2 linked regions of the Notamacropus eugenii genome follow. Each later gene encodes a partner of the first gene's protein in a complex. Links are inferred from orthologs where the notes say so. Each region holds a gene or a part of one and is shown in the gene's direction. Other genes may lie near its edges.

The links.
Region 2: GTF2A1 (region 1) and POLR2J share a complex: the UniProt entries of both Homo sapiens proteins name them as parts of the TBP-based Pol II pre-initiation complex. The link is inferred for Notamacropus eugenii from reciprocal best matches to the Homo sapiens genes GTF2A1 and POLR2J.

What each region holds. Positions count from the first base shown.
Region 1 is NC_092878.1:65,973,823-65,982,440, reverse strand, and holds the start of GTF2A1 (transcription initiation factor IIA subunit 1), read left to right. Parts: upstream 1-5,209; 5' UTR 5,210-5,663; coding exon 5,664-5,693; intron 5,694-6,334; exon of another isoform or gene 6,335-6,578; intron 6,579-6,852; exon of another isoform or gene 6,853-6,971; intron 6,972-8,618. UniProt on the Homo sapiens protein: TFIIA is a component of the transcription machinery of RNA polymerase II and plays an important role in transcriptional activation. TFIIA in a complex with TBP mediates transcriptional activity.
Region 2 is NC_092873.1:51,623,623-51,631,143, forward strand, and holds the start of POLR2J (DNA-directed RNA polymerase II subunit RPB11-a), read left to right. Parts: upstream 1-4,398; 5' UTR 4,399-4,552; coding exon 4,553-4,605; intron 4,606-5,075; coding exon 5,076-5,165; intron 5,166-7,521. Other genes in the region: ras GTPase-activating protein 4-like, read left to right, coding at 581-701, 2,061-2,125, 2,689-3,137. UniProt on the Homo sapiens protein: Core component of RNA polymerase II (Pol II), a DNA-dependent RNA polymerase which synthesizes mRNA precursors and many functional non-coding RNAs using the four ribonucleoside triphosphates as substrates.

The sequences.
Region 1 (8,618 bases):
TAAAGAGGTATACAGAGACACATATCAGTTCTGATGGTTTTGATGGAAGCAGCTAGGTTGGGAAGTAGATAGAACACTGGACCTGAGGTGAGGAAGTCCTGAGTTCAAATCCTGCTTTCGTCACTTACTACTAGTGTGACCCTTGGAGTCAACTAACTTCTCCTTCGGTGTACTCTTCTGTAAATGGGTATACAGGAGAATCTTAGTTTAAGAGTAACCTGGTTTACATATGCTTTGCTGGACAAGGAAAAATTTTTCACAAAATTTGTCTTGCAGGACAAACAAAAATTCGCAGTATGAACATCATGTTTGGACTTCAATGGCTTGTGAAGGGATGACGCTCAACTAGGGCAGTGGGTTTTTTGTTTTTTGGGTTTTTTTTGCAAAAGTGCAAAATTTTGTTGAAAAACAACACCCAAACAAGGCTGTAACAATGAGAGCTACGAATATTTTTAACAATAATGCAATGTCACATTTCTGTGATATTCTGAAAAAACATCAAAAACAAGTATCATTAGATAGATTGCTAGTGAGAAGCAAATGTAAAGAAAAAAAGTGAGTCAAAACATGAAAGTGATTCTAAAAAACAAAAAATAAGTGAAGGCAGTAGTGTTAGTCTTATGTTTAGTGACAGTAGCATAAAAGAGAACCCTCCCAATGTTGAAATCCTCCATGTTCTCATAGGAGATTCTCTTTCCAAGCAATAATCCTTCCTCCTCCTTCTCCTCCCTCTTGTCTCCCTCACCCCAGTCACAACTCTTCTCAAAGGTAAAGTGCCGGTTAATTTATTTTATTTTCAGTTTATATTGTTTACTAATCATTGCTATTGTATTTCAGGCACATTAGGGACAAAAAACTTACTTAAAATTATAAATAATTATTTTATATGAATATTTTTGGGGATGTGATCATCCAACTTTAACATTATTGCCTATGGGAAAATTTGCTTTGCAATATGAACAAATCACATGATGAACAGAATCTCAGAATGAATTAAATTCGTAAAATGAGGTTCTACTGTATAATACTAGTATCTCTCAGGGTTGCTATGAGGATAAAATGAGATATTTGAAAAGTGCTTTGTGAACCTTTAAAGTGTTATAGAAAGTTAATTGCTATTATTATCATTATTACGTGAAGGAAGAAAAGTAGTAGTAGTAGTAGTAGTAGTAGTAGTAGTAGTGGGAGTAGTAGTAGTAGTAGTAGTAGTAGTAATAGTAGTGGGAGTAGTAGTAGTAGTAGTAGTAGTAGTAGTAGTAGTAGTAGTAGTAGTAGTGGGAGTAGAAGTACTGACAGTAAAAAAGTATTTGCACCTAGTCAAGGCATCAGAATCAAATGGGGTGATCTAGATTTCAGGCACCCCGGTTTCAGAGTACAATAGGCTTAATGTTTCGGGAAAGGACAGGACAGAATAGGACAGGACAGAATAGGAGGAAGTGAAGGGAAGGGAAGGGAAGGGAAGGGAGGGGAAGGGGCTAGTAAAATAAGTTAACTGGATATCTTTTGGCTATCCAAAGGGGCCATGCCCTAACTATTTCTTAAACAGGTCTATTCAATGAATGGGTATTGCCTCACCCTAAGTGAATACCTGCAAAGACCTTGGCCTAAAGGGCCCAAGGTCTCCCAGTGCATCCTGGGTCATCTCCAGTCATCCTGATGAATATCTGGTCACTGGATTCAGATGGCTCTGGAGGAGAAGTGAGGCTGGTGACCTGCACAGCCCTCCCTCACTGAAAACAAAGTCAAGTGTAAGTCATGTTATCATTTCTCTGATGGCATGGTCTTCTTTGGCGATGAAGGATGAACACGATTAAAACCTTAAACCTTAAAACGTTCAAATATGTAGTCAATTTAAGGTCCTCTTAATACAGTGCTGAATATATACTACTAGGCCTTCTATAAATGCTTGCAGAAGTGATTGAGGAGTATATTTAAATTTCATTCAATAGAAAGGAATTGCACTGTCATTTCAATTCAGTTGAAGGAAATTTGGTTGTACCTATTTACTTATTAGGTTTTATAGTACCTCTTCTCCAGATAACTCAAGTATCGACAAATAATTTTAACAATGTTTTAAAGTACCATATACAAATACGGGGATCTGTCCTCAGGTATCCCTGTACCTGTTGAATTTTTAGTCTCCTCCTCAAGTTGCTTATCTTTCTTTGTCCTACTCTCCCAACCTCCCCAGTTATCTTAAGGTCACAGAATTGTTGAAATTGTTGTTGATTCTTCCTTCTTTAAGAGAACCAATGACACCATGAAGGTGATGTCTTGACTTACTCATGGACTGTATTTGAGGCAGGGCTGTAGTCCTTAGCCTTGCTTTCTCCTTCAAAGTCATTGGAGTCCAGTGACAAGACAAAAGTCAAGACAATGATAAGGGCAATGGCCCTTAAGATCACAGATTTAGAGCTGGAAGGGACCTCAGAGTTCGTTGAGTCCAAACCCCTCATTTTGCAAATAAGGAAATGAGACCGGAGAGATTCAGTGACTTTACACACAGCTAGTGAATGTCTGAGGGACAGCTAGATAGCACAGTGGCTGGGCTGGGAATCAGGAAGATTCATCTTCTTGAGTTCAAATCTGGCCTCAGCCACCTACTACCTGTGTGACCCTGGGCAAGTCATTTAACTCTGTTTGCCTCAGTTCCTCATTTGTAAAATGAGCTAGAGAAGTAAATGGAAAACCACTCCAATATCTTTGCCAAGAAAACCTCAAATGGGATCATGAAGAGTAAGACAACTCAACCACAAAGTAAGAATTTGAGACAGGATTCACACTCAGGTCTTCCTGACTAACCCAACACCTAAAACTGATTTAACCTCACTGGGATAAGAATCCTAGATGTATTGTCTACCAAATGATCTTTAAACTTGTTATACACTCTGAATCTGTGGTGTGTTGTGGAAAGCAATGAACTTGGATCCCAATCCTAGCTCTTTTTATTACTTTGTGACCCTGGGAAAGTCACTTAACCTCTTCATGGTTTCATTTTCCTCACCTCATTGCACCAGATCTCTTAAGGTTCCTTCCACTTCTGAGTGCTATGGTCATGAAGTGGATAAAAATGTTGTTCTGGATAATTTGCTACCCTGATTAGCTGAGATCAGAACACAATAAAACACGCTCAACTATTCCTAGATGACAGATAGGACTCCTCCTTTTAGGGAGTTCTGCTTCTACGTGGTGCAGCCTTGTGATGAGTGAGGTAGGTAGTGACTCAGGGGAGGCATCTGGAGAGTGATAAGAGTGAAGTGGCTTGGTAACCTGAGTCTAGTACAAAACCTTAAGTTCATAACCTTCATTTCTCCTCTTTCTTTCTGTGTTTTCCCCTTCAGAGCCCACATTTCGTGATTTTTTTCCTTTTAAGACTGCTCTTGCTGATTCATTTGAACTTGGTATCATTTCTACAAAAATGTCATTTCAGCCTTGCCCAGTGCCAAATAGGATCCTTCCCCCAATTCCTTAGATATGCTAACTGTATGATTCATAGGCACACATAATGATGATTAATAATATGGTATCATTGCATAGAATTATGAAGAAAAATTTGAGTTTGCTGGCTTTCTGGTGATTTCCATTCTGGATCCATGGGGGCTGTGACTTCTCAGTTTGGGGTACAAGGGAAGAGTCAGGCTGTTGTGCTTCTACCCTCGCCACTGTTTCTGTCTTCGGAGAATCTAGGATTTTTACTTAACGTCACTGCTGTCTTAAATAAAGGTAAATAGCGTACAGCTGTAGAGGATTTAAACCGCAACCTGGTAAGAACGCCGGTGCAGGAGGCAGTACGCGATGACAACACACACGCATGAAGTGCCTGCTGTGGGCCAGCTAAGCGCAGGAATGCGAGGACAGAGAGAAGACCCCCTGCTGTCCAGATCCCGGCCAGCCTCGCACAAACAAGCTGCGTGATGAAGGGGCATCAGGGAGAGACTTGTTGTATAAGGCAAGAATGGCGAGGGGCTGAATTCCGGCCAACGTTCCACTCCCGGGAGATGGAGCGCATTGTTTGAGGGCGCCGCAGCGCCCGTGCCCCTGAATCGCAGTGTTTGGGGTACTTCTTGGGGGGTGGAAAGGGGGGTGGTGGAGAGCTCTGAATGCCAAAGCATCTTAGAAGCACTCGCTGTGCGCCACGCACGGTGCGACCTGGACGAATTACAGAACAACCCGGCAAAGACCCCCCTTACAATAAGAGGAGACACGTGGGGAGAGGGCTCCAGGGAGGCGCACTTGGGGCGACCCAGTCCTGCCATGTTGAGCAGTTCTCGAACTGCGGCTGGGGAAGGAGTCGGGGTTGCTCACGAACTGAAATGATTTGGGGTGTAAATCCTGGAAATACTCCAGTCGGTCAAGGCGGATACCAAGTGTCAATCTACCGTTTCTACAACAGGACTTCGGCAGCGTCGGATAACCGAGTCGGGACAAGCACGCACGTGCCCACCAAGAGGCCCCTCCCCCCATTTAAAAATGACGCGTGCATAAGCGCACAGAACCCCGCACCCCGTTCCCTTCGCCGGAGCCGCGGGCGGCAGAGGCTTTCAGGCGCGAACGCCGGAGGGCTGGCTTCCCGAGCAGCGCGACCCGGCGGCTGCGGCCGAGAAGCGGCAGGAGGAGCTCGTCCCAGGTGTCCCTCGGCTCGGGGAGTGATGACTCCGCAGATCGAAACTTAAGCCAGCGCCCGGCTCGCTGGGACAGGAGAGTCACGTGACCCGTTCATCCCCGGCCTACCCCAAGGCCGGAGCTAACCGGGCTTGAAGTGAGCGCCACTTCTGAAATTCCGCCGAGCTGAGAGGGCGCGCCCCTGGGGAGGGAAGAACGGGCGGCCGGTCCGAGACTCGCGAGCTGCTCGATTGAAGCTCCCGCCTTTCCCTTCGGCCGGTTTAATCGGGTTTTTTTGGTTTTTTTTTAACTCTTATCTTTCCAAAGTCAGAGACACGAAAAGAAACTTCCGCCTGGGTCACGGCGGAGGCAAAACCACGTGACCCCGGCACGAGAGGCGATTGGGAGTGGGGGGGGCGGGAGTAAGTCGGTCCATTTCCCAGCTCCGCAGCCTGGCGGGGAGGGCCTCACCTTCGCACCGTGAGAGTCCCTTTGGCAGTCTCGCGCGCCCCCACGCGTGCGTGCGCCCGGCCGCTCTCGCGTTGTCTCGCGCCGCCTACCCCCCCCTCCTTACTCCTCCTTCCCCTCCCACTCCGCTCCTTCCCTCCTCCCCCTTCCCTCCCCTCCCCTTCCTCCTGCCCCTGTCTCTCGACGGTGGTGGCTCGCGCAGCTCGTTGGCTCACTATATAAAGGAGAGAAGCGGGCGGAGAAGACGGCTGGTGGCTGCAGCCCGTGCGGCGGCGGCGGTAGCGGCAGCGCGGGGGGCGGCGACCGGTGGCGGTTTCGCTCCTTTGCCCCGGGCGGGGGGCGGGGAACGCTCCCCGGGACCCCCGAAGGGTCACAATTTTTTTAAGGGCGATTCTCGAGGATCTCAGCTCCCGGAGGACTCCCTCCCCCCCTCACCGCCCCCCCCTTCCCCCTACTCCACCTTCGGGACTCGGTTTCGTTTTTCTTTTTTTTTTTTTTTTAAATCTCGGTGATCTGGTTACAGTCGGGGTCTCTTTTCTTTTTGTTTTTATTTCTTTTTTTAAATTTTTTTTGTTGTTGTGTTGTGTGTGGAAATGGCGAACTCGGCAAATACAAACCCCGTGGTAAGGATGTGACTCGGTGACCGGCGGCGGCGGCGGGGGCGGGCGCGGGCTGGGGGCCCGGGGCCCGGGCCCGGGAGCCGGAGCCGGGATCAACTCTTTTCCCCCTTCCCCGCCCCCACCCTCAGCCTCCTCTCGCTGTCGCCGCCGCCGCCACCTCTTCCCGCCGAAGGGGAGACCTGGGCCGAGGGCGGGGGGAGGGGGGTGGGGTGGAGGCCAGAACGGGGGGCTCATGGAGGGGGGTGCAGGAGGAGGGGGGAGAAGCGGGGGAGACGAGGGTCCAAGCGGAGGGCTCTCAGCCGCGCTTTCAGGGTGTCAGGAGGGCTCTCCCCAGGTTAGTCTCCACTCGGGCGAAAGAAGAGGCTGAAAACTTGAGAAAGGGGAGGGGACGGGGCAGAGACCCTCTCCTTCCGCCCCCTTCCCCCCAGAAAACCGCCCTAAGATGGTCTCGGTGGAAGCGGAGTTGGTTTTGTTTGGGGGGGAGGAGTTTAGAGAGGAGCTGGATCCTGCGGGGCAGCCGACAGCTATGGCCGCGTCTCGGACGGGGAGACGGAGTCCCCGAAGCCCGCGCTGGCCCCATGGAGGGGGAGAAATCCGGGGCTCGGGAAGAAGATTAATCTTCCAGACCCCGCCCCGATCCAGTGTGCTGGGGGTGGGGGAGGTTTCTTTTCTTTATTTTTTTCTTTTTTCTTTCCTTTTTTTTTTTAACGAGGATGCCTTGGACTAGCGCGAAGTGTGAGGCGACCCTTGAGTTTTGTGGTGGTTGATTTCTTTGGAGCTGGATGGGGCCATTTTACGTTGGAAAAAGAAGGTTGAAAAGCACTTGTCCCATCTCCTTTAGAATCGTTAAAATGGCGAAGGGGAAACAAAATCCCGTCATACCTTCGACTAGCAAGAGGAAAAAAATGACATTGACCAAGGCACCCCTCCGCCTGAAATGCCGCCTCGTCTCCCCCACCCGTCCCCGGGTCCTTTTATTTTTTTTGTTACTTGCAGTCACATAGGTTTGCAAAAAGCAGTCACATAAATAACCTTTGCAGTCACCAGTGCCATGTGATCCTCGATCCACCCGACTCTCCTTTATTATAAGACTAATAACAATAAAAAATGCCATCCCCCTCCCCAAATGCGGCCAGCAAACCCTCTGTGCCCAGGACCGTACCGTGGAGACTCGGCCCCTTGTTTGCCACTCTCAGAGAGAGATCGATCCATCATGGCTGCTGCAGCTTCCCCTGCTTTTGAGTCCCTGCTCCTTGTGGTCCTCCTCCCTTTGGCTGCCCTGTTTATATAGAGCCATTGCGCTCTCTAATATAGACTCTGCCAGGATGGGAAGGTGCTTTTCAGCCCTACGTCACCGGCTCTCCATTTAAACCCCAGATCAGGCTTTAAATAGTGAGAGCTGCGGAGCGCGAGGCTGGGAGGTGCATGCTCCGCGTGAGGGAGGATTCGTGCTCGCCTGCTTGGTTCTGGGTGGCCTCTTCTGGCACTTGAGTTGTGCAGCTCTGGGGTCCAGCTCTGCCTTGCTCGTCGACGCCGGCTCCTGCTGCAGGCACTTGCTCTGGCTGCTTTTTGAACGAGGAGGCTGTGGTCTTCTCTGGACGGCTTTGGGGTATTTTTTTCAAGAAGGAAAAAAAATGAGGCCTTCCTTCCTAGTACCCCAAGTTTTTCCAAAGTATTTGGAAGTGGAAAATAAGCCACATTTGTTGTAACTTATACGGAAAATATAGGACAAGCTGTCCAGGGTTGAGGTTTTTTTTTCCAAGCATTTTTTGCTTACAGATGACTTCAAAACATATTTAGAAAAACCTGTTTATTGAAAATTTTAAAATTGTAAAAACGTCAAAATCATACTTGTGAAATGTGGAATACTATAGTAAATGTTAAATGTAATTTCCCTTCCATGCTTTTTCTTCAGGGAAAATAGTATTTTCATTGTGAATGAAGAGGTGCTTTGGAGTGCAAACACTGTATTTAAAAAAAAAAGGTAGCAGGCTAACAGAATGCTGAATTGATAGATATTAACATTATCCTTGTTACACAAGCAATTTCTATTTTTTTTTGCATTGTGTTTGTATATAGGGTACTAAGTGTGTAGATATGGAATTACAGAACCTGTCATCACCACTACCCTTAGATGTACATGGACCACATAGGTATTTGTTGCTATATGTAATAGATGAGTGTACCAACAACTGTGTATATAGAATTTTTGTCAAGTAGAACCAATTATTCCTATTAGGGGAACTGATTAAGAGGAGCTCTGTAATAATAGTTGATGATTACATGGCTACATGTATTATTTCATTTGATCCTTATGACAGTTCTGTCAGGAAGTATAAATATTTATACTGTTTTATTGATGAGGTAACTGAAGTTCAACGTTGCATTACTAACAGGAGTTGGATGGATTCCGGGCTTGGGAACTGGATTTGGAGACAAGATGATGTTTTTTCAAATCACATCTTTGCTACTTAGTATAACTACAACTAAGCCCTGTCTTCATCACTTAAAAAAGATAGTTGGACCACATAGTCTCTAAGGTCCAGTACAGCTGCCTCCCTCCTGTAGTAAATTATTTGGTAATGGAAATGTTCCCCCTATAATTTATCCAGTTGTACAGTTTGGTTTTAAATATCCTGTTTTCCTAAATTAGGATATATCTATGGTTGCCTGAAGCCGTGTGTTTTGTTGCTTTCATTCAAATTGACTAGAAAATGTCTTTAGAAATGATTGTTATTCTAAATGATCTCTGGAGTACCTGAACACTGATATTTTAAAAACCTCTTTGGCATATGAACTAAGGCAGCCAAATTATTTCATATGCATATGCTTTATGAAAATACAATTATTTTATGGCATTTGTAAGTGTAAGGTACTAAGTCATATAGGTAGCATAAGATACAATTAAATCAGAGAGCAGGACAGAGG
Region 2 (7,521 bases), on another chromosome or scaffold:
TAAAATAAGCAGGATTGCAAAGGAAACCTGTCGTGTGGAGAATTTTCAGAATGGGCTGATAGGTGGCGCAGTGGAGAGAGGGTGGGACCTGGAGTCAGAAAGGACTGAGTTCAAATCCAGCCTCAGTCACTTTACTAGCTGTGTGACCCTGGACAAGTCACTTCACCCTGTTTGTCTCAGTTTCCTCCTCTGTAAAATGAACTGGAGAAGGAAATGGCAAACCTTCCAGAATCTTTGCCAAGAAAACTCCAAATGGGGTAAAAAAGAGTCAGACATGACAAGTGCCTGGAACCCAGGTTAAGGGCCCCTGAAGAACCTCCAGCCTTGGTTTTGTAGAAAGAAGGAGAGTTTTGTCTTTAGGTTACTTCTGAGTCACAGAGGGGGAGCACCCCTGCCAGCTGACGGCTGCCACATCTATTGGTTTCTACTCCCTAGACCTTGTCTTTATCCCACCCACTGGCCCACCCTGGACAAACCCTCCCTGCCCCCATTAGTACCTGCAGTGCTAAACTTTGCTCTTCCGGTCTCCCCTCTCCCCGTTCCCTCCCATCGGGGACACCTTGTCTCTTCTGTCTCACAGGTCTGGGCTGTGACAAAACCCGAAACCGGGTGACCCTGCAAGAGTGGAATGACCCCCTGGACCCAGACCTGGAAGCGCAGCTCATCTATAGACACTTGTTGGGTGTCCAAGACACAATCCGGTGAGAAGGACATCTGTGATCTCCCTCCCTAGTCTTGTCCAGGAGGGTGTTGCCAGAGGAGGGTACCCTCCCAGAGTAGGGCACCTCCCCAGCAGCACGTCTCCTGACCACCTCTCCCTTTTCCTAGACCTGGTAGGCAGAGGGAACCCAAACTCTTGACTTCTTTGCCTTCCTGAGCCTCTTGTTTCTTTTCTGACCCAATTTAATTGATTTAACCAATATTCATGAAGTGTTTCCAATGAGCAAAGTCCTCTATTAGGTGCTGGGTCTTAGGGGACCCTTGGGTGAGATATTGGGAGGTGAGGGGATGAAGAAGGGAGAGGAGCAACTCAGAGCAAGTACCTAAGAAGCTTTGACCAGATGGCTCGGAAGGTCCTCCAGTTATCTGTGCCTCATTATGGCCATCCAAGGACAATGATTAGAAGTAAGGCCACCAGGATAGCTGTGCTAGACTGCTAGGCTTGAAAACAGGAAGAACCCGGTTCACATCTTTGCTTGATGTGTGACTATGAGGGAGTCTCTTAGCCTCTCTGGGCCTCAGTTTCCCCTCCTATAAAATGAAGATGTTGATCTTGGTAGCCTGGGAGATCTCTTCAGGTTCTGAATCTGTGGTCTGGTGCCCTCGGTTCTTGATACGATGACTGCGACTTATCTTTTCATGAAGAGAAGTGGCACAAGAGATGTGTTCCTCAGTTTCCTCACCTGTTGGATCCTCCTAGAGCTGAAATTTTAGATTCTAATTCTGTCATTCAGGGCTTTTCCCTTCCCTGGGAAAGTGATAGAAGTTGATGTTTCAGAGGGTCTGGGTCCTCATTCTTCCTTCAAAGTTTAGAAGAAATGATGGGTTTAAACAGGCTTCTTCATGAGAGCAGGGCAGGAGGTTCAGGATCCTATTCTCTCTCCCAGGTCAAGCTGTGAATCAGGACTCATGGGGGAAAGAATTGGATGCTTGGTAGGGTAAGATCAAACCGAGGTGGAAATGGTTTAACACCAAAGAGAGCATGGAGCTTGGCATAAGGTGCAGAGTGCTGGACCTGGGCATAAGGAGACCTGAGTCCAAATCCTACCTCTGACCCTTACTAGCTGTGAGACCCAGGGCAAAGTATGTAACCTTTCAGAGCCTTAGTTGCCTTATCTGTAAAATGGGGAAAATAGTATTACCTACCTCACAGGGTTCTGAGGATTTTTGTGGACTTAAAGTGTTAAATAAATGTTAGCTGCTCTTATCATTACTAATTTACTACTACTATTAATATGGATACTACTGAAGACACATATTAGGCAGTCATCCACAGATTCTCACAGGAGTAAGAGGGCAACCTTGGTCTAAAACTTGTCCCTTTTCCTTTCCCTCATCAGTGAAAAGTACCTGGAGCTGACTGCCCTGGGGGCTGCTGGGAATATCCCCAACATCCAAAGTGAAGGTAGGACCCTGACAGTCCCTCCCAAACCCCCCTCTTCTCATTCCAGAACAAGCTAACACAGTCCTTCCCAGGCCAAGGGAGGTAGTTTGATGAAGAATTCTGATTCTAGAGTCAGAGGACCTAGGTTCAGATCCCACTTGAGACATTTACCTAGGCCTCAGTTTCCTCATCTGTAAAATAATGGAATTGAACTAGATCTGAGGTCTCTTCTATGATTGTTTCTGTGGACAGATCACTTAAAGTTCCCTGGGCTTCTGTTATACCTTCTTTAAAATGGGGGGGGTGGGGTGGGGGTGGACAAACTGAACTCCCAGGTCCCTTCCAGCTCTGATCCTATGAAAGTCTGGCCCCATGGAAGGTCCTGAGGTCCTAGGACTCTGTGGTCCTTACCAGCCACTCTGGGGATGGTCTTTCCCCAGCACCTGAGGATGGTCCCACCCAGCTGTTCCAGGTACTCCGGGACCTAGAAGATGCCCACCGCTCTGGTCCTCTGACTACAGTAGACCAAGAGAAGAACTATCTCTTGGAGTTGCAGACGTGAGACTGAACTCTGCTTCCCTCAGGCCCAGGCCCTGCCTCGATGCCATCCATCCCACCCTCTGCCTCCTGCTGGGACTGTTTATTCCCAGGAACTCCCTGTCATGCTGGTGGCCTAGGAGCTCTGTGGTTTGGAGATCTGCCTGTGGCCTGGGTGAGCCCCTGGTCCCTGGCCCTGTCCTCACTTCTGCTCCAAAAATCAGCTTTTGGCTGCAAACCAACACCCCTTTCCCCATTTCCACGAGCACTTCAGGGGCCTGAGCCTTGTCCTGGGCTGCGCAGCAGCGCTGTTCCAACGTGTCAAGAGAGCAGCAGGAGGTTGAAAGCGCCCCTCGCTGGGGAGGGGAGCAGAGACATCCATGTGTTGGTTTCCTGGGATGGGTCACTGGGGCCCCAGGATCGGCAGTCCTGGGCCCTCCTTGTCCCCCATCCTTGGCTCGCTCTGGGTTACATCCTTGATTCTAACATTCCATGAGGTTCACAGTCAGGGAGCTGGGCGCTGGGGGAGACAAAGGGGTGCTGTGATGACTGATTTGGACTTGGTGGTTCTAAGGAGTCTCTGGAGTCTGTTCTTCCCTCTGCTGACCCCATGACCGGTGCCTCTGGTCTCCTAGCTGTTCTAGGGAGGAAGTGTGGAGAGCCATGGCCCCTGGGGAAGGCAGGTGGAGAAAGTAGAAGCTGTCACTTCTGCCCCCTTCCCCCCATCCCAGCATGAACACTGGGCCTCTGAGGCTCCTGGGGCTCCCTAGGGCCAGGACTCTGCATCCAGCTTCTTGATTCAGCCCCTGGGGTGGGAAGCCTCTGGCAGCGCCGCTTCCTCCTGTGCCAGCAGCCCCTCCCCTTCGCTGGGCATCACTGCAGATTACAATAAACTTTCCTTTACCCTTGTTGGGCTGGGGCTCTGGTCCTGTCTTTGGGGGGTGGGGAGGGGCACCGAGCATGTCTGGGGTCTGAGGGAAGGGGCACCTACTGTGTGCCAGGCACTTTCTACAAAGGTTATCTCACCTCACCCTCACAACAACCCTGGGAGGTAGTTGCCATTGTTATCATCCCCATTTTACAGACGAGGGAAACTGAGGCAAACAGGTTCCGTGACTGGCCCAGGGTCACACAGGGTCGGAAGCCTGACTTTCGTCCCGACTGCAGGCCCCGGGCACGCCCGCCCCGCCCCCCACCCCAGCGCTCCGCCCCTACCGCTGTGCGCCCCGCCCCGCCCCCACCGCTGCACGCCCCGCCCCCACCGCCTCTGGCAGTAGCCGGAGGCCTCCAGGGATTCCGAGGAGAGAGCACGCTGCGGGCGGCGCATCAGGGGAGTCTTCCTCCGGCTTGGGAGGGGCTCGCTCAGGCCCCTGGAGGCCCGCGTGGGGGAGGCTGCCACCTTGCGGAGGAAGCAGGGAAAGCAGGAGGAGGGGGCGCCGGAGGAGGAATGCTGGGACACCATCTAGCACTGGAAAGGCCGATTCCCACCCCTTAGTTTAACTGAGAAGGAAACTGAGGCACAGAGGGGGAGGGGATTTGCCCAAAATGAGGCAGCAGATCAGAGCCGGCGTCATCCGCTTCTACCAGCGTCCAAGACGGCGTCCGAGCCCGGGCGCTGGAGCCCCGTCGCCCCCTAGCGGGACGGGAAGAACACAACGCCGGACACGCACGCGCACACACGTCTACTAGTGTTGTCCCCTCCCCTCCCGTTGGCCGAGCGGCGCATGCGGCCATCTTCCTCTCCCCCCTCTGGCTCCGCCCCTTCCTTTTCTGTTCCCTCTAGCGGCGGAGTGCGTTACTTCCTGTTCCGCCGCGGTCGCGCATGCGTGAGCTCCATTCGGAGCCAGGCGTGCTCCGGAAGCGGAAGCTGGGTAGGCTGGGGAGTCCCCGAGCTAGCGGCGGCGGCAGAGAATGAACGCGCCTCCGGCCTTCGAGTCCTTCCTCCTCTTTGAGGGAGAGAAGAAGTGAGCGCGGCCGCGGGGCGGGAGGGCCGAGCGGGGCTGCCGCGGCACCCTCGGTAGGAGGGGCCTCAGCCTCCTCCGTGTGATGGGGGTAGACCTTTCCCCGGGCCTCAGTTTCCCCGCCTGTTCCCCCTCTCAGAACACGACGGCCCCTTTTTGGGAAGACGTCACGTGTGGTAGCGCCCCCATTGTACAGAGGAGGAAACTGAGGCCGGCAAGTGTCGGAGGCGGGAGCCGACCCCGGCTTTGTGCCAACTAGTGACCTAGGAAGCAGCAGGGGACGCTCGTCCTGGGGGGGGGGGGGGGGGGCCTGAGAAAGCGCCACAAAAACGCGACAAGGCGCTGTTTGGGCAAAGAACGGGCCGAGCTTCGGTCCTGGGTCCGCAGCGAACGCCTCCCCACGTGTGCCCCTCCAGAGCCGGGCGGGATCGGGTGGGCAGCCCGCGCCCTCACCGTGCCCCCTTCCTCCCCAGGATCACTATCAACAAGGACACCAAAGTGCCCAATGCCTGTTTGTTCACCATCAACAAGGAGGACCACACGCTGGGGAACATCATCAAGTCGTAAGTGCGGCGGGAGGGGGCGGTGCCCAGGCTCCCCCGGGCAGGAGGAGGTGCCAGGTCTACCCAGGTGACCCAGGCCTTGGGCTGGCGCCGCCATCCTCCTTTCCTGAACACTTCTGGATCTTAGGGTCGTGTGCCAGGGAAGAGCGGAGCCCTCTTCATGCTGAACCCCTGAATTCCCAGTTCAGAACTTCTCTCCTTATTCCAGAATTCTGCTTGCTCACTCAGTAAACCCAGACAAGTTCTCCAAACCCGGTCCTGCAGCTTCCGAAGCAGAGATTACACGGCCCTGGAGCGTTTTCTGCTTTGTTTAATTTATTCACATAAAACAAAAACGTTTCACTCGTCTGGTAAGAATTCGTCTTCTCAGCTGTACTCAGAAGCAGAGCATCTTTGCTGCTCATCTCCCTGCCCGCCTTTAGGTCCCTTCTGTCCTCTGCACTTAGACCAGGGAACTCTGGGGAAAGGGGGAAAGGTGAAGCTAAACCTCCTTTCATCCGTTGTAAGCGTTAACCTTGAATTGCTCAGTACGAAAAGGGAGGAGTTTAGGAGACTTCAGTTAGGTTGGGAGAGCGTTACCTGGCACCCAGACTAGCATAAGTCAGTCTTATACTTAGTGTTAACTTGGGCTGCCAGATTGATCTTCCCCAGATATTGTTTATTCCGTTTCCCTGCTCAGACACCTTCAGTAGCTCCCTGGTTCCTATTGAATAAAACTCCTAGGTGGCATTGGAGGCCCTTTTGTTTTTCGGTGGTTTTGTCAGTTGTGTCCAACTCTTTGTGAGTGTTTGGGGTTTTCTTGGTAAAAGTACTGACTGCAGTGGCTTGCCATTTCATTCTCCACCTCATTTGATAGAAGAGAAAACTGAGGCAAATATGGTTAAGTGACTCGCCCAGAGTCACTCAATAAGTGTCAGACACCAAATTTGGACCCAGGAAGATGAGTCTTTTGGTCCAGGGCTCTGCCCACTGTGCCACCTAGCCACCAGGTCTGATCCGTAGGCTACATTTAAAATAATTTCTTGTTGACAGCTTTTGTTTGTATGTAACCTCTATTTCTCTCAGACTAAAGTAACATATCAAAAAAGTCTGGCCTTTTATGCAACATTCTGCATCTATGGTCTCCCTCCTCTGCAAAGAAATGGATTTTTGGGAGGGGCCAAGCTTGGTTATTACAGTATTACAGCATTAGTTTTCTCTTATTTTGTTCTTTCTCTACACAGTGTTGTAATCGTGTATTCTGTTTGCCTGGTTCTGCTGGCTTCACTTTGCATCAGTCCATTTGGATCTTCCCATACTTCTTATTTTCATCATGTTACTGTCTTATAGCAGAAGCACTAATTCACTTCTCTTTATGAATCAGTTTATTTAGCCATTTCCCCATCAATAGGTCTCTCTCTTGTTTCTCGTTCACTAGTGCACCTTAGCTGCCCTTTTAGGCTTATTTCCCTCCTCATCATGTTGAAACCCTTTGCAGCAGTCAGGCCAATTTCCTCAAGATCCCCTCTCGGTGTTGTGTGTATTCACCTGCCTCTGACTTTGCCTCATTCAGCTTGCCTGGTATGTCTTCCCACCCCTCCTCCACATCCTCTCTGTGTCCTCTTAGATCCGATACTTGTAGATCTTTCCTGGGCACCGACAGGGAATATTAAATGCCTTTCTATTCCCCACAGCATTGCCACATCCTATGCCTTGCACACAGTTGGTAACTCACTTAAATTTTACACTAAGTCATATTGCTTACTGGCCAAGTACATGACTATCATTCCACTTTGGTCATATTCAGAAGTTTAAAATCAAGAAATATTTGTTAAGGTCTTTATATAGAGTATTGTGGTAGATAGCCGGAGAGTTAGAAGGATTCGTTAAAAAACATATCCTGCTCTTGTGAAGACTGTGGAGAGTCTAGCAGTGTCTCAGATGCCCAGATCACTTTAATGCTGTAGAATACATAAATCCTTTAGAAAGCTGCAGACCAGCGCTGTCAGGTCTGACTCACATCATCACAGCATGAGGAGGTCAGAGAGTCTAGGGGAGGCGGTATTTGGATTGGGCTTTAGAGGAGGAAGAGGAATTCATCTGGCAAAGAAGGAGATGGAAGAGAAAGTACTCCAGGTTTTGGGGACCCAGGCAGGAAGGGAGATGTGTTCTGGGAGCCAAGTGGGGCTGAGAGGAGTGAGATAAGGGTCAGGACTCTTGGAATGGCATGAAGGCGGGGTCTGCAAGTTTGAGCTTGGCTCTCAGTGAACAGACAGGAAGGGGATGAGTGTTTCTTGGCTACTGCATTCTGAGCTGTGTTGCCTTCCTCCACTTTGTCAGTGAATTCATTTTTTCCTCCATGAAATATCCAAGAGGC